3 linked regions of the Diceros bicornis minor genome follow. The protein of the gene in region 2 binds, or shares a complex with, the protein of the main gene of each other region. Links are inferred from orthologs where the notes say so. Each region holds a gene or a part of one and is shown on either strand. Other genes may lie near its edges.

The links.
Region 1: the proteins of PDZK1 (region 2) and AKAP10 are in contact, whole or in part, in a crystal structure (PDB 3TMH), measured with the Homo sapiens proteins. The link is inferred for Diceros bicornis minor from reciprocal best matches to the Homo sapiens genes PDZK1 and AKAP10. Residues at the interface, in NP_001188254.1 of Homo sapiens: Asn386, Gly387, Tyr388, Gly389, Phe390, His391, Leu392, Asn393, Ala394, Ile395, Arg396, Phe402, Lys404, Tyr436, Glu437, Val440, Ile443, Gln444; in NP_009133.2 of Homo sapiens: Pro655, Leu656, Glu657, Lys658, Ser659, Thr660, Lys661, Leu662.
Region 3: the proteins of PDZK1 (region 2) and SLC15A2 are in contact, whole or in part, in a crystal structure (PDB 6EZI), measured with the Homo sapiens proteins. The link is inferred for Diceros bicornis minor from reciprocal best matches to the Homo sapiens genes PDZK1 and SLC15A2. Residues at the interface, in NP_001188254.1 of Homo sapiens: Asn386, Gly387, Tyr388, Gly389, Phe390, His391, Leu392, Asn393, Ala394, Ile395, Arg396, Gln407, Tyr436, Glu437, Val440, Ile443, Gln444; in NP_066568.3 of Homo sapiens: Glu723, Thr724, Lys725, Lys726, Thr727, Lys728, Leu729.

Annotation. Positions count from the first base shown.
Region 1 is NC_080757.1:3,134,284-3,141,943, forward strand, and holds the start of AKAP10 (A-kinase anchor protein 10, mitochondrial), read left to right. Parts: upstream 1-4,560; 5' UTR 4,561-4,704; coding exon 4,705-4,792; intron 4,793-7,660. UniProt on the Homo sapiens protein: Differentially targeted protein that binds to type I and II regulatory subunits of protein kinase A and anchors them to the mitochondria or the plasma membrane.
Region 2 is NC_080743.1:53,251,923-53,259,531, forward strand, and holds the start of PDZK1 (Na(+)/H(+) exchange regulatory cofactor NHE-RF3), read right to left. Parts: upstream 3,002-7,609; 5' UTR 2,453-3,001; intron 1-2,452. UniProt on the Homo sapiens protein: A scaffold protein that connects plasma membrane proteins and regulatory components, regulating their surface expression in epithelial cells apical domains.
Region 3 is NC_080754.1:22,848,191-22,855,834, reverse strand, and holds the start of SLC15A2 (solute carrier family 15 member 2), read right to left. Parts: upstream 3,095-7,644; 5' UTR 2,933-3,094; coding exon 2,795-2,932; intron 940-2,794; coding exon 852-939; intron 246-851; coding exon 104-245; intron 1-103. UniProt on the Homo sapiens protein: Proton-coupled amino-acid transporter that transports oligopeptides of 2 to 4 amino acids with a preference for dipeptides. Transports neutral and anionic dipeptides with a proton to peptide stoichiometry of 2:1 or 3:1.

The sequences.
Region 1 (7,660 bases), on a different chromosome or scaffold from region 2:
TACCTATTTGGCTTCCTTTTATTCCTTTTTCTTGCCTAATTGCTCTGGCCAAAACTTTACTGGTGACATTTTTTGTTGTTGTTGTTTTCTGAAAATATCTTATTTTGTGTTATCTTTGAAATATATTTTTTATGGGTATAGGATTCCAGATTGGTAGTTACTTTTTCCAGCACATTGAAGATTTAATTCCACAGTCTTCTGGCTTCCACTGTAGGTGTTGAAAATATCAGCTGCCTAAGTGTCATTTCTTTGAAGATAATCTGTTTCCCCACTCCCAGCTATTTTTAATCATTTTTCTTTGTTTTTTATTTCTTGAAGTCTTATTACTAATAATCTAGGTGTGGATTTCTTTTTATTTATTTTGTTTGGAGTTCATAACGATTCTCAAATTGGTAGGTTGTTTTCTGTCATCACTTCAGGAAAATTGTCAAATACTTCCTCCGCTAGATTCTTTCTCTTCTCCCCTTCTGGGACTTTGATCAAACATATGGCAAACCTCACTGTATCCTCCATGTCTCTTAGCCTTCTACATCTTCATTCTGGATATTTTCTTCTGACCTGTCTTCCATTTCACAAACTCTCTTTAGCTGTAACTCTGCTTACAGATCCATCTGTTTAATTCTTAGTTTCAGTTGTTTTTCAGTGCTAGAATTTCTAGTTGCTTCTTTTTCATATACACTCTGTCAGTTTTTATAGTTTCCAGTTCTCTGCCCAAATTTCCAATCTTGTTTTTTATATCCTTGATCATAGTAAGCATAGTGATATTAAAATCTATGTCCAATAATTCCATCTGGAGCTCCCATGTGACTATTTCTGTGGCTTGTCATTTCTCTTGGCTCTTATTCCTAACATCTTGTCTCCTCACGTGCCTGATATCTGTGATTGTGTGCCAGACATTACATTTGAAAAATTGTCTGTGGAAATAATTTGAGATCTTCGGTGATGTTATCTTGTTCCAATAGGAATTCATTTGTTTCTATCAAGCACCGAGGGCACCAGCAATCAGGATTTCTTAATTTACTGTTAGGTATTAAGATTTCCTGGGCCACACAGATGACTTGAAGCTGGGTTGCAATCCCAGCATGGGCTGGTTTACCTCTGGTGTAGCTTTTTCAGAATCCCAACCCAAAGCAGGCTCTGGGCTCCAACTTCTGTCCTCTAGTCTGTGACACTATCACTCAGCTTCTCAGTCTCTTTTTCATGAACAGTCAAAGCTCCCAGAGCAAGAGGTCCCAAATGCAGGACTTAATTCACTGGATTTTGTTTTTATTCTCAAATTTCACCTGGTAATTCTTCATTACCTTCTTATTGCCTCAATATTTTTAAATATTTTGTTCACCTTCTTTAGTTTTTCTCAGCAGGTGGCTAGTCCAAATTACCTGCTCCACTGTTATTAGAAGTGGAAGTCTCTGCTATGCAAATTTAAGAGATTATTGTTAAACTCTCCTGACTACTTGTTTTGGGTTCCTTTGATGGAAAAAATGTGCACTAAACTCCCATTTATCTGGAATGATTAGAGACTATAGAAGAAATAAATTATGTTAAGCCAAAATTGCTTTGATTCGGCTTTGATTAAAACTAAAATCATAGGTCACAAGTTTTTTAGAGATAATTTTACAAAGCTATTGATGCAAATGCTTTTGAGAATGTAAAACACTGGGTTAAGCATTAGCCTTTATTTAGACAGTTGAAGAGAACTTTAAGCATATAAATATATATTCTGAATCTTGTCATAAATCTGAGTTTGTTTTTATCTGTTTACTGAAAAGGTACAAGGAGCTTTCTTTTCCTATAATATCAAAAGATTTGTTTGAATAGTTTCCTTGAGGTTATGAATGTTAGATATAGAAAGCCAAATTTTTTAGAATGTTTGTTGTAGAACCCTGTTCATTATATTTGTAAACAGTGTTTGTCATAGGAGATTGATTGTATTCACTGGCTTTGTGATAATTAACTTGTTGATTTTACCTCACTGATTTGTTGTAATTGATACAACTGGTATAAAAAGACTGTGAGGATTCCCTTAAAATTAGGAACATAATTAAAGCAATACCTTCTGGTAAAAATTTATTTTGTTTTACATATAAATTAAAGTGGCTCCAACAAATTCACTTAGAAATGCAATGCAGAGTGTCACTTTGCCACAACTGGGTATTCAGGCTAATGGGACATTCTTGTTTATTTTTATATTCTTGGTTTATTTTAACTTTGTTCAAATGTGGATCATCAAATTCCAAAAGATTAAATGATAATACTCTTAAAGTTTCCCTAAGCGCAGGAACACTTTAATGGGTGATGATTCAGAAGGCATCTGCACTGCTGGATATCACCCATCCCCTTATACTTGTCCAATAAATAGACAGCCCATGCTGGAACACTGGACGAATGGATCTCAGCTGGAACTGGAGGAAAAGATTGGAGGAAGTGGTATAAGCAAATGGCTCGGGAGTCTGACAGTGATTGAAATCTTGTCTCTACCCCTTACTAGCCTTGTAATCCTGGGTAAATTACTCTGATTCTCAGGGTCATCATCTGTAAATTGTGAGTAATGATGGTAGCCATCTCACAGGATCTTTTTGGGGCAAGAAGGTAAAGAACTGAGACTGTGATTATAAAGCACTTAGTACATTGAGAGCACATAATAAGTACTTAATAAATAATGACGGCTATTATTACCTGACTGGGATGTATTCAGCTGCCTGGGGGAATAAGGACAGCTCCAGAATTTCTGTTAGGAGGGGCTCAAGAGCAGTAATCACATTGGAAGGCAGGGCAGGACACTGCTTTTACATTGATTCTATGCTTAGTTGGAGAGAACGAGGAAGGATTTGAGATTTAGAGAGACTAGAGCACTTCCCCCATACTCCTCGGCATTGCTCCTATTCTGGCGATATTTAGGGGATTTCTTGCACTCCCCCCTCCCGTCCCAAGCAACTAACCAGCCAACAAATACAAGAGGCTGCTGCCAGGGCACTGGACTCCCGCAGGGAAGGAGAGAGAAGGACGCTGTGCTTTCCCGCTAAGAGCGTCGACTCCCTATTCCTACACCTCTGCTAGATACTACTTCTCCCCCTTCACTGATCCAGCGGAGAAAGCCCACTTAGATTGCACCCCAGCCCGGCTCCTCCTTGACTGCAGCCAATTCCCTTTCCTGGGAGAAGGGGGCATGATCCGTAGTTTTGTTGGCCACAGATAGGAGAGAGTGGTCCCCCGAGGGCATGCTGGTTTCCAGGACACCTCTGATCCCCCCAGGGACACCGCCCAGACTCCCCTGCAGCCTCCGCTGAGGCGGGGAGGACACACTGTCAGCACCAGCTCAGTTGGAGGATACACTCTGGCATCCAGAGCCTTGACCAGTCTCTCTTCCTCTTGCCCCTACACACTCTCCTTACTCCAGGACACGCTTCACCTGGGGCTCTGGAGGCCCACTCTCTCGATTGGAAATCCAGGCTTCAACTCTAGTTAGCTTGTGAGCTTGGGCAAGCTATTTTTCTGTGCCTAGTTTTCCCCACACCAAGACCGACTCCAAGGACTATTATTAATCTGGAGGGTTTAGCACAGATCCCGTGCATAGTAAACTCTCAAATAGCCCGAACCAGAAGAGACAAACCTATTAACTTGATCTAATTATATGTGAAAAGACCAGAGGTTCTAGTTAGTCTCAACACTGACACACTGAATAACCGTGGACAAGTTGCCCCCATCCGTCACATGATGGACTTCATTGATTTAAAAAACCCAGTGAACATTTATTGAGTGCTACTGTCTTCCAGACTCCTTCCCCGCAGGAGCTCACGGCTGCTGAGCGCACTCAGGGGTGGTGAGGGGCACTGAGCGCAGGCAGGCTTGTTTCACTCTGCTTTAGGGGCAGATGGAGAGCCAGAGACTCACTGGAAAATAGCATTTGAACAAGGCTTGAAGGATGCTTCACTTGAGTTTGCCTGGTAAATATTGGCGAGGCTGTTATGTTGCTGTCCCTTTCAAATTTGAGCATTCGCAGGGATTTGGTTCTGTAAGTCAGTCCACTTCTCCTTGCTGAGGTCACTGTGACCGACGGAGCCAGTGGAGCCGCATAAAGCAGGTTATGCCTCGTATTCCCCATTCGGGAACCCTGATCGCCTCGAACGCGCGCGACCAGGGGTCTGCTTCCCGGGGAGAGCAGGGACCGGCGGCGCTGGGAGAAGCTGCTCTTACAGGAGGGGCTCAGCCGGAGCGTGGCAGTGTTGGCCCTGCCCTTTAGTAGGGCATGCTCTGAAGGGTGCCCACCGCCAGGCTCCCCGAGCCTGAGGCGCCGCGCCACCCCAGCTCCAGGGGAGCGCTCCCGCTCCGGGACGGTTAGTTTTGCAGGGACCGGGTCTGCGCCACTCCACCGGGGGTCGCGCCAGTCACCAGGAAGCTGCCGTGGTGCTAGCGCGGAGTTCGGTAACCCGGCGCGCAGGCCCGCGTGCGCACGGTCACGTGGGCGGCGCGTGCCCCCGCACCCACGGGAGGAGGCGGGGAGGGGGCGGGGCCGGCGGCGCGGCCTCCCGTGAAGCCTCGCGCGGGGAAGGACCGGAACTCCGGGCGGGCGGCTTGTTGATAATATGGCGGCAGGAGCTGCCTGGGCATCTCGAGGAGGTGGTGGGGCCCAAACCCGGAAGAAGGGTCTCTTTTCCTGCTAGCGCGGCGGCCGCTGCGGACCCGGAAGTCCGGGCCGGTTACTGAATGAGGGGAGCCGGGCCCTCCCCGCGACAGTCCCCCCGCGCCCTCCGCCCCGACCCGGGCCCCGCCATGTCCTTCTTCCGGCGGAAAGGTAGCGGAAGGGGCGCCGGCGGGGAGCTAGGTTGGGCCTCAGGGGCGGCGGTGGGGCAGATGGGCCTTCTAGGGCTTGCTCCGGGGCGGCGGCGAGGCCCTCGGCCTCCGCGCAGACGCCCCCTGCGTGCCTCGCTCTGCGCCGGGACTCTGCAGGGAGGGCGACGGTGGCCCCCGCGCGAGGTCAGAGGGGAGTTGCCTCGCTGGTCCAGAAGTGTCTGCCGAAACCCGTCAAGTTAATGCCTGTTTGCGTGAAAACAGCTTTTCGGAGTTTGTGTGTGTGTACTGTGGATCGAGAACAAGGAAATTCCTTTAGTACCTTGTTACGGAAGTCTTTGACTTTTCAGAATATTGAGGGTTTTATGTCTAAAAGCAACACGTGAAAAAATTTTCTTTAACTAGTGCTATATTCCAGTTTCCCCTTTTTTGGGGGGTGGAGGGCAGGGTTCGGCTCTTCCTAAAATAACATTACTTAACTTATTGCGGAAAGTTCCCTAATGAAGAAGAATAGTACTTTTGATGACTTGGCAAGTTTACTAACTACTGGAACTCTATAAACAAATTACTTATATGTCTGATTTTCAGTTGTAATAGCTGCCCAGTTCTTTAGTAGAGGCAGCTTAATTTTGATCCTGCATAAGGTTGCATTTCATTGAAAATATATATCCAAAGTGAACAGGTGTGGGTCTTTTTGGATGAAAGTGGTTCTTTCAGTTCTTGTTGCTTCAGAGAAAATGTTACAGACAAAAACGGGTTTTGGAAAAAGCACTAAACTAAATCAGGGACTTGGGTTCACATGACAGCTCTGCTACTAACTCTGTAACCGGGGGCAGAAAAGTGTTAACCTACTTTTCTCTTCTCCCTCAACTGAGAATTAGATGATTTCTCAAGACCCTATTCAACTCTGACTGTGAGTTAAAGAATTCCTTTTAAGTACATACAGAGTTTTAGTAACTGATGTCAGGTGATGAGTGAATGAAAACAGTGCTGAATGAATGAAACCGGTAAAATGGTATGAAGAGGCTTTATTGGTAAAGTAACTTGGTAGAGTTAGTAGCTCACTAATTTGTTTGACAGCGTTGAAGTGTTAGTTGTTTTTTAGGTTTTTTTTTAAAGGGAAAAAAAGCATTCTATGTATAATGAGACAAATTGCGTGTTGCATAGTACACTGTTGTCTCTGTTCCACAAATAACTTTTGAATGTCTTCTGTTTGCCAGCCACTGTGCTAGGCCCTCAGTATTGAGCACTGAACAGGGCAAAGTCTCTGCACCCAGGGAGCTTATTGTCTGCAGGGGGAGACAGACAATGAATCAGTCTCTCTTTCTCTCTCTGTGTATGTGTCTCTGTTTGCAAATTGAGTAGCGTTATGAAAGTGATAACTTTTTTTTTAGAGAAGCAGCGTATTTCAGTTGGATGTTAGAGAAAGGTCTCAGCAGGTGACCTTGAAACTTAGAGCTGAAGGATCAGTAGGAGGTAACATTCAGAGGCCAGGGAAGAGCATTCTAGGCACAGGGAATAGCATGCTCCAAGGTCGTGAGGCAAGAAAGAGTTTGGTGCCCTTCAAGAAAGGAAAGAAGGCTGCTGTGACTCGGGCTCAGAGAGGTAGACAAGGATCAGGTGATTCAGAGCTTTATAGGCCATGGTTAGGTTTTATTCCAAGTGCAGAGACAATATTATTTAAACATTTTTAAAGAGGAGTGATTTGATCTTATTTTATGTTTTAAAAAGATCATTCTAGATGCTTTTTGGAGACTGGATGTGGCAATAATAGAAGCTGAAGATGGTCTTATTTAGGGATCCCATCGAGTCTTTAAATACCATTTTTAAATACCACCTATATGCTGATGACTACCAAATTTACATCTCCAGCTTGGATTCTCTCCCCTGAATCCAGACGGGTATATCCAACTGTTGGTCCACTTTATACTTCTACCTAATAGATATCTAATAGATAGTTATATCTGTTAATAGATATAGTAGACTATCTAATAGATGAATCTTTAACTTACTAGTATATCTAAAATTTAACTCTAGATTTAGTTCTCCTAAGCCTGTTCATCACTTTTTCTCATCTCAATAAATCGCATTTCTGGCCTTTTAATTACTCAGGCTAAAACTTGAGTACATTCTTGAACTTCTCTTTCTCTCCTCTGTATCTGATCCGTCAGCAAGTCTATTAGGTATACCCTAGAACATATCCAAATCCAACCACTTCTCACCATCCCTAACCATTAACACCCTGGTCTAGGCAGTCATCTCTATTTAGATTGAGTGGTTAAGGAAGTCCTCTGAGAGGATGTCATTCGAATCTCAGCTTAAATGTCAAGAGGAAGCCGGTTTTGTGAAAATCGAGGAAGCAGCATTATTTTGCTATAGCCTTCAATTTCGTTTCCCTTCTTCCATCCTTGACCCCATGGTATGTTTTCAAAACATATGCCACACCTCTATTCAGAGTCCTCAAGTGGCTTCCTGTAGTGGCCCTCCATAATCTCCTGCTCCCCTTCATCACTCTTCCATTTATATTGGCCTCCTTGTTGTCAAGTACATTCCCACCTTAGGGACTTTGCACATGTCCTCTCTGCCTAGAACCCTCTTCTCACAGATACCCACCTATTTTGCTCCCTCATGTCCTTCAAGTTTTTGATCAATTGGCATCTTAGTGAAGCTTTCTCTGACCATCCTATTTAAGATTGCAGTCCCTGGCCCCTGCACTCACCCCTGCCCCCCTTGCCTTACTTTCTCTACAGCATATATCACCATCTGCTTTACTTTGTATTTTATAATGCTGGAAGCTGATTTTTGTTCATGGCTGTATCCCCCTGTCTAGGTCAGTGCCTGGCATATAGTTAGGAATTTAGTAAATATTTGT
Region 2 (7,609 bases):
TTAGACTGTGAAGCACCTTAAGCTCAATCCTTTGGATTGCAGAAGAGCTTCATGTCATGTGAGGCTTGCAGCCTCAGAAGCTGGAGGCTGTCTCAGACCAAGAGCAAAGCCTCGGTAGCTGCCATTGAGTAGGCTAGGGGCTATCTTTCCTACTTATCAAAACTCCTTGTCACTGCCTGGGTTCTTTCCTTCCCTGGGGCTATGCCCCTCACAAAGCTGTCTGATGATCACCAGAACAGTAATATTTAAGGTGTGCTAGGCACTATGTGCAGTCTCGCATCTAATCCTCATAACATTAGGAACGAGGTTCTATTATGCTCATTTGACCAATGAGGAAATAGAGACTTAGAGATTAAGAATATGCCTGCTCTAGAAGGCAGGTTTCCAATTTCAATACCCATGCCCTCAATCACTTCGCCATGATACACACCAGGCAAAGAGATTAAGGAAATCTGGGCAGTCCCTCATGAAGAGCCAAGGAAAGGAGTTACTGAGATCTGGAAGAAAACATGTCTAGCTCTAACTTGCTACTCTCATCAAATTCCTTTGCAACAGATATGAAAATCATTTAACCAAGACATGACCAGAGATGCCCATTCCCACATGATCAGACCCAGACCTCAGATGACCTGAGAGAGTATCAGAGTTCTGCAGCCTCTTCTCCCTAAAAGCAGCTTCTCAAAACCTCCCGATTCTATTCTTGCAGCTCCTGCCCTGCCACACTAACTTCCATTTATCCAAATATCTAAGCACCTACTCTATGTCAGGTGTTGTCCTCAGAGCTGGGATTATAGCAGGTACCACAAAGGACAATAACCCTGCTCTCTTAAAGCTAAACATCTGGCAAAGGGGGCAAATAAAAAGCAAACAAGATGATTTCTGATGATAAAGGCTATGAATGATGAAATATAGTGGTGGAGTTGGGGGAGGCTGATTTAGGAAGCCCTTCTTGGGGAGGTAACATCTGAATTCATACCCAAATGACAAGGAGGAGGCAGCCTTGAAAACTCCAGGATCCACCTTATACTTGGTGGGCTGAAAAGGACATTAGTGATCAGCTAGTCTCAACTCTTTATTTACCAGTGAATAAAGAAAAGCTTGATGAGGTGAAAAGACTGGGACAAGGTCTCCCCACTGACTGCAAGGCTGTTTCTTCCCACTTTTCCATGAAGCCTTTGGATATACACATTTGAGTGTAAGCACCTTATGTTTGTGCTTTTAATCCCCTCAAACACACCATATTTGTAATTTTATTTTCAGTACAGCCTTGGGGAAAAGACGAGAGGCCTTCATTTGATAGATGATGAAATTGAGGCTCCAGTTGGCTAAGTGACTTGTCTAATGGTCTGTCACTAACAACTAAAGCAAAATGCAGGTTCTTTGTACTCTAGTCCTGTGTCCTCTCCCCTGGATGGGAAGGAGCTGTCTAGCCAGTGGTCCATGAACATAAGACATCATTACTAGCAACTTCATGGGTAATGGTTCAAATAACATACAAAAGAGTCAAAGATAAGAAAAATTTACTTAGTCATAACACACAAACTCAAAGTCCCTGAGTTATTTGCTGTAGAAAAGAACATGTGACCAGGGAACTAGACAGCCATGTCCTGAGACAATCAGCCCCCATGACGTCTGAATACAGACTGCAAGCTCATCGGTGCAACACTGCAGGGACAGCTAAAGAGGACTGTTCTTGAGGAGCCAGCCCAGCCCTGAGCTGGTGTCTCCTGAGCTGAGCATGAAAGTCACATTTAAGTCCCTGGACTCTTCTGTATAGGAAGTAAGCTACTAGTGCTTCCCAAACCTGCCTGCCAGAATCATCTGGGGGAATGTTAAAAAAACAAAGATTTTCAGAACAACACAAGACCCAAAGAATTAGAAACTCCAAAGTGTAGAGCCTGGAGATCTATGTTTTAAAATTCAGCCAGCCTAGAAATCCACTGGTTTTTCCTCACTTCTTAGTGCTATAACATGATGAAAAGAGGAGAGATGCCTGCTTTTATTATCCAGTGGGAAAGTTAAATTAGATTTTATCCCTTAAGGGCTGCTTCCAAAAGAAAATCTCTAATACCCAGACCCCTGACCTAGTGGGAAGTTCCTGTGAGTATCTTCCTGGTGACCTGTGAAGTCTGTTATCTCACTCTCCTTGGCTACACATCAAGCCCCCATGCAACCCTGGGAAAGCTTTTTCCGAGGCTCAGTTTACCATTGCCTTTGTAAAGCAGACCCTAACCTGTAGGGGTCGGGGCATCACAAGCAGAAAGGATCTCAGAGTACAGACAATCCCTCACCCCACCACCACCACCAATAGGCCCGGCTCCTTCCCCATGTGCCTCTCTTTGGCCCTGGACAGCCAGCTACTGCTTGGAAAAGGAAAAAGGAAAAGAAAGAAGGTGGTTCAGGCCCAGGTGGCCAGCACCCTCAGTCAGGGGGATGCAGAGACTCTCCTTACCTGGATCTAGGGGGAAGAGGAGCTGCTCCGGTCACTCGGGAATTTTCTCTCTGCTGGTGAGCTCTAGTCTTGGAACTCCGTGGACTTTGAACAAAGATTGATTTAAAAGCTGATGTATTTAACAGGGACTTGTGGTCTGAGTTCAAGTGACCTCTGTCCTGCTTTCTGCCAGCTGGGTGGGCCCTGAGCTGGGCAAACCTGAAAAACGCTCAGCAAACCCAATGCTCTGACCCACCTGCTTAACTGTGTGGGATGTCGCTGCTTGCCTGCTCCTCCCAGAGAAGAGGAGGGGAGAGAAGAGGGAAGGACAGCCAGGGAGGAGATGTCTTTGCCTTCCTCAGTTCTTTCACTTTGGCTAATACCTTGGTCACACCCAACCAACACCCAATGCGTTAAGAGCCTCCACTGTCCCCATCCCAAGGTCAGGGCTGAGGGTCATCACCCAAGTATCTTCATGTACTGAGGCCATCCTGGGGAGCAGTAACCTGTGCAACCCCCACCCTGTAGAAGGTCAGCAGGCCAATAAGCCCCAGTAAATGAAGCAAAGCTCCTCGTGTGCCCATCCTTCCTTTCCTCCACCGGGGAATTCTTCCTCGCATGCTTCCTAGGAGTTCAGCATAAAGCCCCTGCTATGATTTCCCAGGCTCCCTTCCTCTTCTTACACACTCTCTCTTCTCTGTCTCTCTCTTTTTTCCTCTCTATCTCACTGAGGGTGCTCTGTTTCTATTCTCCAACCTACTGACAATTGTCTTCCCCTTCCACACACTCAGAGCCTCTCAGGCAAGCCCAGCGGGGAAGGTGGAATGCATTTCCACAAGCTCCTCGGCTGGCTGCCTCAGCAGTGCCCTGCTCCACCCCTCATCCCAGACAGGAGCAGCAGCTGATCCCTATCAGCAGCACCCACACAGGCAGACCTAGCCTTGGGCTTTTCACTGACCTGGATCCTCAGCCCACACTGGAAATCAGGGCAAGAGATTGCTCCAGGCAGTGAGGCAAAGAGACCACAGGCTGAGGACAGGGTGGCCTCACCTTCCTCCACCCACGCTGGAAGGGCCACTCGTCTTCGCTGGGCCTTGGCTCTCCCCAGCAAAGGCATGGCCCGAGCCAGAGGGTAAATTGTCAAAAGGGACCAACATCTGAGCCGCTAACCCAGATCAGGTCATCTCCACCTTAACACTATGTCCCTTGGGCCTCCTGTATGTCTTCTGAAGCAGAAGTGTAGAATGGGAAAACCTGGATTCAAGATCAGAATGCCTGACTCTGCCACTTCCAGGTGTTGCATCTAGAGTAATTTATTTTTAACTCTGAGTCTCACTTGCCTTCATCACCTATAAATAGTTGTTTTTTAGAAATTTTTTTATATTGAGTCAAAATATCTCTCACCTCTGCCTGTAAGTCCTAATGGTTCCCTCTGGAGCTGTTCTACAGAGCAGCCCTTCAAATATTTGAAGGCTGTTATATCCCCCATAAGTCTTCTTTTCTCTGGGATTCCATGAATGCCCCTCATTCCTTAACATGGTCTGCCTATGCCATGACTTCAAAACTTCTCACCCTGGACGCCAGCCAATTGGTCAATGTCCGTCTTCAAATCAGGGGTCTAAAGGGGAAACTTTAAGGTGATGGAATTGTTCTATATCTTAAGTGTGGGAATGGCTATGCAATTGACTACAATTACCAAATTTCATCAAGCTATCACCTAAAATATGTGGATTATATTCCATGTAAATAATACCTTAATTTTTAAATTAAGGAGCCTGTCAGTAAATTTATTCTTGAAACTTCTAAAATAAAAAAATTTGGATGACAACAAAGTCAATCTTCATTCAAGAAGCTTCTCAGACTCACCCTTTATCCCAGCACAGATGGAACAAACAGCCACAAGCCTTCAGACTGGAAATAGAAGAGGCCCTAACATGCAGAGACAGTGTTCATTCAAAATTAAATAGAAATGAGCAATTGTTTTTTTTAAAAAATGACAAAACCCTTTCCCAGTGAAATTGATACCAAACCTCTTAATCTCAAATCCATGTGCCTGATATATAGTAAGCCAATCACGGAGACACCTGGTGCTTGGAGATAGAGAAAGGTTTATTCGAATTGGCCAAAATGAGAAGGCGAGAGGATAGGTTCTCTCAAATTCACCTTCACAAGACAAGAAAGCAGGGGGTTTTATAGAGCTAAGGGGCTTGGCAGGAGGAGTTTTGGAGAAACAAAGGGGTAACCCCAGGTTTCTTTCACTCCAGATAAGCCATTGGGCAATCTGACTTCTGGGCATCAGTGGCAGCTGGGGGCTGTTTTTCTGGTGACTGTAACTTCCTTGAAGGCATTCTATTTCTTCTGTAAAACAAGCTCATAAATCCTTGTGACCCTTGAGTCACCCCTCAGGTTGAGCAAGAAAACAGCAACTTGACAAGACTAACTTCTTTTCATCTATGTCTGTGCTGGGAACTAGGTCGAAAGGTAATCCTGCCCTTATTGAATATTGATAGTAACCCTCAGGTACCACGCTTCAGAATGTTGAACTGAATGAGATGAGCCCTCACTAAAATTTGGATTTAAAAAAATCTCATGGCTATAAGTAGATCTGCTCAGATTAATGCTAAGCAGAGTAACTCTTTTTGTTGATTACTTAGATCTAGACACTAGTGAGAAGGTAAAATGACATTATTTATTGTGTGCCTGGTAAGCCTTTATATCTATTATTCTATTTAACCCTCAGCATGACCCGATGAGATGATATTCCCATTTTACAGATAAGAAAGCTTAATTCATGGGGGTAATTATCCTGCCCAAGATCACCTGGCTCAGAAGGATTAAGGACCCTGTCTGTCTCCTTAGGTAGTGTTGTTTTGCCTCTAGGATAGGCTTCCCACCAGCCAGGGAAAAAATGTGCTCTCCTTCCCTAGAGGTATTCAAGCAGAGGCTGGTGGTGTTCTGTGTCATGTTACAGAAAGATGTCCTGCTTTGTGAGGGAGATTGGAGTAGGCAATTTCTTGGATCCCTTCCAATTCTAAGATTCTGTGATCCTAAATACCATGGGTCCTAAGACAACCTTCCCCATGAGAGTGTGTAGTATAAGTCCTGGGTGCATGTAGGTAAGAGTTATGAGCATGGGCTTTGGTATCAAACAGCTACTGAATCCTAAATCTGCCATCAATAAGTTTTGTATTTTTTTATTGTGAGCTCAAGTTTGTCTGGGCTTTGTCTATGGGAACCCTTGGCAGCCTGGGTGGAGGATTTTCTCTTGTTTTTGTCCAACAGCCCTTCTCCATATCCCTAGAATGACAAGGAGAGGCACTAAAAACTTGGAGCCAATTTGTGTTAGTTGCTTGCCTTGGTGTTTCCAGATCTTGCAAACAATTAATGTCAGTTACAACCTCAGCCCCCCTCCCCCTAAAAGCAGAGCTATGGTTGGGAATTTCCAGGAGAGATCTGTTTTTTTCTTCCCAGAGTCCAGGCCAAGATAGATAGTTTCCCTGTTACCCATGATCAGTTTTTCCCTGTTCTGTTTTTTCATAAATATATCCCCCTTCATCTTACTTATATATTACGTTTATGGATTATGTTATGTCTCTCTATTATCTCTGTCTCTCAGAATATAATTTCCCCAGGAACAGGCATGCCTATTTATTTTCTTGCTGTGTCCCAAGTGCCTGGAATATAAGCCTAGCTTATAGCAAGCTTTCAAAAAATGTTACTGAATGGATGAGTGAATAAATGAATCTCCTTTTGCCAGCAGGACTGGTTTTTAGCCCACCTTTCACTAAGAATGTAGCCTTCAGAGAGTCTCAGCTCTATGCAGGGTATCAGTTCCTGGGTCTTACCTCCTGTGCCAAAGTGACCCTGCTTGGTTACCGGTTTTCAGCTTTCTCTTCACTTCTGGACCTGAGAGATTTCTTTCCTTTCTTTCAAGTTCAACTATCTATTTGAAAAAAATGTTTGATATATTTTACCTAGTATTTCTATGAACTATGTAGAGGGAGGGTTTTCAGATTATCTAGTCTGCCGTGTTTCCAGAAATAGTTCTGTCACTTAGCAGCTACTTTGCCTTTCAAAGCTCCAGTTTTTTCATCTGTAAAACACAGGTAATATAACAAGCTCATAGGATTTCTTGGAGACTTAAGTAAGAAAACATTTGTAAATCACCCAGAACCTGGTAAATGCTCAGTATATAACATTGTTATTATTGTTTTTGCAAGTTATGCCCTCATAATTCATGGGCACACATTGTACAACAGAGTCATGGAAATAAACGGGCTAGAAGTATACAGTGGGCGACTCAGGAGTTCAGGATGTTTGGGGCATTGTGGATGGCATGCTTGCCCACTCACAACTCAGCGCTTTGTAAAACTGGTCAGAAACAGAAAACTAGAAAGACTTCCCAGTGCTTCCCAATACTTTCCCCTCCACGTCACAAAACAAATTGATAAGAGTTGTATAGTTCACCGGGGTAAATAGATGAGGCATTACAAGGCTAGGGTGACCTGCCTAGGGCCAGCTGCCCCAAGCTCTGCCCAGACTCCCTAAAGATCGAGGGCATCAATATTTTGGCATATTCTTAGAAAACTATAAAACATCACTGAGAGCAACTAAAGAAAACTTAAGTAAATGAAGATTATACCATATTCATGGGTTGAATCTTCAACACTGTAAAGATGTTAATTCTCTCTAAACTGATCTACAGATTAATGCATTTCCAATCAAACTTCCCACAGGGTTTGTTTGTTTATTTGCTTGTTTGTTTGGTGGAACTTGACAAGCTAGTTCTGAAAAATTGGAATAAGGAAGCTGTAGTGGGTAATAAGACAGTAGAGTGATAGTAATTACTACAACATGGCATGGACACAAGATAGACAAATGGACCAATAGAATAGACTAGAGAGCCCCAAACAGACCAATACAAATAAAAACAGCTGATTCATGACAAAGAACAGAGGGAAAGGCTGTTCTTTTTCAATAAATTGTTCTGGCACATTCCTTTTGGGTCTGGTTTATTTCATTCAATATGATATTTGTGAGATACATCCATGTTGCTGTGTGTAGCTATGGTTCATCTGTTTTCCTTCTGGGATTCCACTTATATAATGCCCAAATATCAGGCAGAACTTTGAGTGACGCCTGCTTAGGTGGTAACACACTATCCTGACTTCGGGGATT
Region 3 (7,644 bases), on a different chromosome or scaffold from region 2:
CTTGTTTGTCATGGATGACATAAGAATGTTCCTCCTTGGAAGCAAGAGGCTAGAAGTGATAACCTCTGCACAATTAATCTGCGAAGCTTCCCATCTTCCTTACTTGAATTTTCCCAACCATGAGTCAGCAATGGCTGCTCCCAGGATGGGAGTGAAATAACAGAGGCTGCTGAAGGCGTGGTATACAGATGTGGAGGTGTCTTCATTCCAGTGCAGGAAATACAGGAAATACAGGGTCAATACAGCTGAGGCGAAAAAAGGGAGACAAAAAAAAAAAAAAAAAAGGCATTAAAGTGACTTATGGAGAAGTACATTTGATCTCTGGTCTTTGAAGGTGATCTTGACCTTCAATACTCCCATCGGTGAAGTGACTGAGGGTTGGCTGCCAGGCAGTAGAAGCAGGGCCCATGGGAGTTGTGGGAGTGAATGGGGCTATGCTTAATGTACAAATGCAATACTCCTCCTTTTAGTCTATTTGTACCCATAGCATCATTTAGCCCATTCATGAAGATAACATGGTGCTTCCAATATCCCTTTCTTCTCCTTCCCAGCAACAATATAGTTGATAGATCTCAGGAACAGATATGAAGAGCGGAACTCAGATGATGAGAGTTTTCCCACTTATATTCTCACAGACTGTGTTCTGGTTTCTGGTAGGCCTTTCTGTTCTTGGCCTGTATGAGTTACTAGGTGAAATCCCATGAGGCATTCATTGGCAGTCTTGGCCAAAGGAAAGGATCAATTTGGATGAGGGCAGAAAGAGTGGATAAGGGAAATAAGTGTAAACAGGTTGTTACAAACATGAGGTGAGGGTGAGCAGAGAAAAGTAGGACCCTGGGACACAAAATTACCTTTCATGCCATAATAGGAAAAGCGCTCACAGAATTCATTCACCACAATGAAGGCAATGCTCAGTGGATAGTTGGAGCCACAGATTTTCTGTGAAACAAAAAGGTTTAAGAGTGAGCTGTTTTTCCCTATTTAAACCAGTAGATTGCTCCACAACAGAAAAAATCATTTATTTTAAATCACCATGATAGGTAACGTGAAGCAATGGACCCTACTCTTCATGAAACAGCTATTATCACACTAAAAGTGCTTTCATTGCTGATTTAGGAGTAATAGAAGCTATTTTGAATATAACTTTGTTCCTCATTTATTTAACATGGAACTGCTCAGACATTCCTTGATTGGAGATACCAGGACCTGCTCATCTTCCCACAACTACTAATGAAAAGCCTGGGGCTCTCGGCAAGAGAATAATCATACTTATTTCTAGGAACAGAAAAAAGAGTTGGCCTCTGGAGAACTTGATGTCCAAGCAGTTACATTCAGATGCCGGTATCCTGCTTAGCTTCACTGTGCGGACTAACCTCTCTTGTCCCCATCTGCCCTGTTCACCATGCTGGGAAGAATCCTGGCAATACGATGGCTTCCCATTCAGAGGATGCTGGAGCGGGCAGAGAGCCCACTATAGGTTCCGAAAGGGAAGCTAATTGATCACCTTGACCTTGGGCAGAGAGTTCTTAAATCTTGTAAAATTAAATGTCCACTCTTCCTATGAAAGAGATTCTATAACATTTTCATGCTAATTATATTGGACATTAAAAGGACTATGCTATTTCACACACTATATCAGTCAGAATATAAGGAATATCATGTTTTATTTCAAATTTCTACCCATTACGATAGCCCAACTAACATGAGAGAAGGATGGAGATATCTGTCTTTGGGACAGTCAAATCTTATCATGAGATTTTTATTGCCTCTTATTCAAAAGAAGTATATACACCTTTGTAAGCAGCCTTAAATTCTTTGAGACCAGAAGAGATATAAATAAATGAATAGATAAATAAAGAGAAGCAATAAATTAATGTATTCATTCTTTTCCCCATACGGATATATATATAAAACCTTCTTAAATATTAATATATATTAATGTATGATAAAAACTTGCTTGAAAGACACAATGAACTGAGCTTTCTACCTTCCCAGCTCACAGCTTGAGAACCATGCAACCTGGAGTTTAGTTAGCACACTTTCATTAGTTATGTAACACTATCACTGGCTGTGTTAACATACTGACCCTGGCCATGTCACTACACCTGTCTTTAAGTTTCAGTTCTGTTATTCCAAAGAAACTGCTATCTATAGAATACTACCACCTCTTTGCCCATAGTAAGAACTTGGTAAATACTGGCTATTGTTACTATATCCTCTCCACTTACAGGATTTTGACACAAGGATTAAATGAGACAATGAATTTGGAAGTGCTTTAACAAGTATATAATGTAAAACATTATTATTTCTTCTTTGCTTCTCTGTCCTGTCTCCCGCTGTAAATTGGGACACATAGTAACAGAAACTGGATCTATGCTAAAACTTCTCTTGGTATCCAGCATATACTCTGTGCACAGGGGGAACTAAGGGCTGAGTTTTTATATTGGTAAAGAAAGCACAATCACACACAGTTCTCCAGACAGGAGCGCTTGCCAAGTTTCCCTGGACATTCAAATTGCTTTTTTTTTCACCCCAGAGAAACTCAGAATATACAATGAAATACAGCAAAGTCCTGGATCCGAACTGAAGAACTCTGACTACCTCTTCCTGCTGCTTCCTCTCCTAAGTAAAGGAAACTTCTATTCAGATTTTGTTTTCAGGTTAATCCTAACTCCAAGTAAGAATAGTTTTTAACACCCTTATACAGCTCAGCCTGAAGCTCCAGAGGCCAAGGAGGAGAACCAGAAGAGCAATTCTGTTCCTGTCAGAGGCAGAACTGAATCTGAGGACTCACCGGAGGTGGCTTCTTTGGAAGGCTAGGGGGTCGAGGTGGTACCTCTTCAGTGGAGACAGGTGAAAAAAGAGTTTCTTTGGACTCATTTTTCTGGAAAGGATTCATGGCTGGCTCCTTACTCTCTCTCTCCTCAAGCATTTGGCTTCGGTAGGCAGTTGGGACAGCTGCCAGCCTACTGTGAAAAGGGGGACAGGGAGGGGAAGAGGGGGTGGCTTCAGCAATTAGGTTTAACCCTGTGGGTGTCGGGCTTCAGCAGCTGCGCAGCCCAGAGCAAAGCAGAAAGCTATAGGAAAAGAAAGGGTTCCGTCTCAGAGACTAGTTCAAAAGAATGATTATGTAAAAGGTAGAGCATGGGGAAGTGAGAACAACACATCACAAGGTGGGACCAGTAAATGCTGGAGGATTGCAAGTGAGCACAACATATTTAAGAATACAATGCCTGGAGCATAGATTAAAAAATTGATTTCAGGGTAACAATAGCAGCCAATTATTGAACACCTATTATGGGCAAGTTAATATTTATGTATTACATATATATTATATCTATATAGATATAATGTGTGTGTGTATATATATGTATATATATATGTTCTAATTCTTACTACTATCCCCATTTTACGGGAACTAATGTCCCAAGAGCTTAAGTAAATTGTCGAAAGTCACATGGCTGGTAAATAGCAGATCCAGAATTGCTATGCCATGACAGATGAGCGAGATTAGCATCAGTAATGCCTACGGTCATTATTCAGGTATGGAGGCTATGCAAAGAGAAATGTAGGAATGTAGGGGAATTGAAATGCATTGAAGAGGGAAAGTCATCATAAAATTTAATTTAGTCAGATAGAAAAGATGTTGATTTTGGTTTTCAACATAATAAAGTCCAACTAGAAATATCCTATAAGCAATTAAAGAGGTGGGGCTAAAGAAAATGAGAGAAAGGGCTGGTGATGTACATTTGGGAATCATTCTTCTCCTTTGCTAAATTCATTCCCTGTGTTTTCACTTTCTCACTTCAAGATGAATCTATCATTTCATTAATAAATAAAATTTAATTTGAACAAAAATTATGAATCAGTTATTTTCCAGGTACTATTACAAACAGCAATTTCCTTAATTTTCAGTGGGTGGACTCCCAAATGACTCCAGAAATATACTTAGTCCTTATCAGAGGAGGAACAAGAACAGGCAGGATGATGATAGGTGCATCTCATACAGTATTATTTTTGCTAAGTCAAAGAGGTGAGAGAAGAACAAAAGAGTATGGTGCCCTTTCAGCTGTCAGTCAAAAGAAAAAGGAAAAGAATGGCCAGAGAGCTGTAAGAAAAATGAGGACTAAAACAACAAGGAAGTCAGAAAACAGGAGAATGAATTATTTTATTTGAGAATATGAGAGAGACATTATGACTCATCCCTCACAAACTTCTTACACTACCTATTTCAGTAATTTATTGACAAATAAGGCCAGGATAAACTCTACCCTTTCCTCCTTAAACTCTAACGCAGACTTTGACCATGTCTTCCCAGCTTCTATTACACCCTCATCCCCCCTCTCTCCCATCAATCTTTACCCAAAGAAGAGTCCAGCTTCATTTCTGACTGTGGCATTAATGATTAAGCTGTAGTTATTCTTTCAGGAAGTAATGCCCTTTCTGATCTAGTTTGGTTAGTGACTTTGGATGCAAAACAAATGAACAGTTAGAAGTTACTAGTCAAGATAACCACTAGAGGCACAGACGGCTTGAAGATCTAATTGTCAGTGGCTATCCTTGCTCTGGCCTTATACCTCTAGGATAGCATTTGATCTGGCAGAGCAGATGGAATGGCACCTGCGTGCAATGCACCAATTCATTTGTGTTCATAGGTACCCAAAATACCAAACTTTAGAGTATTGGCATTGGTTCTCTGATACTCCTTTGTTTAGATGAAACTCTTCTTTTGATTACGGCAATACAATGCTAGCATTCATAGAATCAAATATCAGAGATGGAAGAAATCTTAACCTTGTCCTGTGTAAACTAAGCTTCCTTGATGATAAGAGTCATTTAGGATGATATATATTCTAGAGGGATCTATTCTAGAGCCCTTTCTATCATATCAAGATGCTTCTTGGCAACCAATTTTGCCAAGTTGAAATCAGATAGAAGGATGAAAGGGAAAAGATCAAAAAGCAACTCCTAGACAGAAATGAGCAAACCTTTTTCAGAGACAAAATAGATAACGAAAATGGAAGAATCTAAAATATCAGTGTAAGAGTAAAAAATATTTGTGGCCTCAGTGATTATGACAGCAGAAATTGATATTTTACAGTCATGTACAGAAAGGAGACTGAAGCTATAAAATGACAGATACTAATATAGTCAGAAGAGGTAAATATGAAATTAAAAGAGAACACGTGTTTAGCAAGGTGTATGAATGTAAAATCAGCACACAAAAATAAATTGTATTTAAATATCAGCAAAAACAAATAGAACAGGGAATTTTTAAAAAGATACCAGCTATAATAGCATAAAAAATACCTAGGAATAAATCTAACGAAAGATGTTTAAGACCTCAACACTCAACACCATAAAACGTTATTGAAAGAAATTAAAGGATATCTAAATAAATGGAGAGGGATACCATGCTCGTGATTTGGAAAGCTCATATTGTAAAGATGTCAACATTCCCCAAATCAACCTATAGTTTCAACACAAAATCCCAACTGGTTTGTTAGTATAGAAAATGACAAGTTGATTTTCAAGTCATATGGAGATGGAAAACACCAAGACTAACAAAGGCAATCTTGAAGAAAAACAGTGGAAGACTTGCATTACCCAACATAAGACCTATTACAAAGCTACAGTAATTATAACAGAGTGGAATCGACATAAAGATAAATAAGGCAACCAATGGAACAGAACACAGTGCAGGAAAAGATCCACACAAATACTGAGGCATCTTTTGTGACAAAGGTGACACTGCAGTGCAGTGGGGGAAATGATGGTATTTTCAATAAATAAACACCATCCAGATATCCATATGGAAAAAAACTTATTTTAACCCTCATCTTACACCATACATAACCAATTCTATATACCTTGCAGATTTGTTAAAGTTAAAAAAAATAAAGCTTTTAGAGGGAAACATAAGAACATCTTGATGGCTGTGAAATAAGCCACAACTTCTTAAACAAGACATAAAATATGGTAACCATAAAAGAAAAACAATTGATATGTGGGACAATAATAATATTAATAATTTTTGTTCACCAAAAGACACCATTAAGAGTGAAAAGACAACTCACAGAGTGGGAGAAAATATTCATATTATAGATGCCTCTCAAAGGATTTGTGTCCAGACTTTGTCAGTAACTCCAAAAATCAGTAACAAAAGGATGCGTATTCAGGTTGTTTTGAGTTTTTTGCTGTTATAAATAATACTGCAATAATAATCTTCCATACAAGTCACAGGTACCTGTAGGATAAATTTCCAGAAGTGAGACTGCTAAGACAAAAGTATATGTTCTTATAATTCTTGGAACTGCCTATTCATTTCCTTTGCCCATTTTTTTGTTGAGTTGTTTGTCCCCTTCTCATAAGTTTGTAAGAGCTCTTCTATATTATTGATATTAATGCTCTGCAAGCTTCTATGTGGCAAATATTTTTTCTGTTGATTTTGTTTGTGGACTTTTAACATTAAATAAAACTTAAAATGCACAATCTTAAGTGTAAAACTCCATTATTTTTTACATATGTGTAACTCACACAACCATCACCCAAATAAGATAAAAAATATATATATATATTTCTTGCACCCCAGTGCTGGAAGTCCCTCAGAGAGTAATACTCACTGCTTCCCTTCTGTCTCCCAGTCAAACCCTCCTCCCCCAAGATAGTCACTATTCTAACTTATATCACCATAGATTTGTTTCACCTGTTTTGAATTTCACATAAGTGGAATAATACTATTTGTATTCTCTGTGTTTGATTTCTGTTACTCAACACTACATCTGTGAGATTCATCTGTGTTATTGCCTGTAACAAGATTTTTTTTTTCCCATTGTTGGTAGAATGCACTGTACAATTATGCCACAATTTATTTCCCCATTCTTTTGTTGATGGACATTTGGGTTGTTTCCAGTTTTAGGGTTGGCTATTGTCAACTTACTTTAAGCTAGGAACTATGCTTCCCAGAATCATCTTCTCTGTACGGTTCTAGGCCAGAAAAACTTGAGTGAGATTGGAGAGGTGGAAGTGAAGTAGCAGGTATTACTCCAAGTTGTCAAAGACTGGACAGAGGTTATGGTCAAATACCTTGAGCCAATGAGGCTTTGTCCTTTGCTGATGGACCTGTATGTGAAGGGGAGTGTATTCCAAGTTCAGGCTGTTTTCAAGTCTTCCCAGATTTTACTTCTTATCAGGCCTTTTTCAGTATCCTGTGCACATGCATGTGGCCTCAGGGTTGATCAGGAGTGTGTCAATAACTTGAGGCATCGCTGGTCTCTGCTGCACATGTACATAGCCTCAGCCTGAAATATCACTGCCCCAACTAGTATTGCACCCTCAGGCTAGTAGGGCTAAGCTCTTGGCCCACCCCCACTGCCCAGCATTTTTCATTCTTAAGTTCCTTTTTTTTTTTTTTTGGTGAGGAAGACTGGCCCTGAGCTAACATCTATGCCAATCTTCTTCTAGCTTGCATGTGGGATGCTACCACAGCATGGCTTGATGAGCAGTGTGTAGGTCTGCGCCTGGGATCTGAACCCGCAAACCCCAGGGTGCCAAAGCAGAGCAGGTGAATTTAACCACACCACCACCGGGCTGGCCCTTTGAATTCTTAATTTTGATTCATTTCTTAGTAAATTGGAAATTACT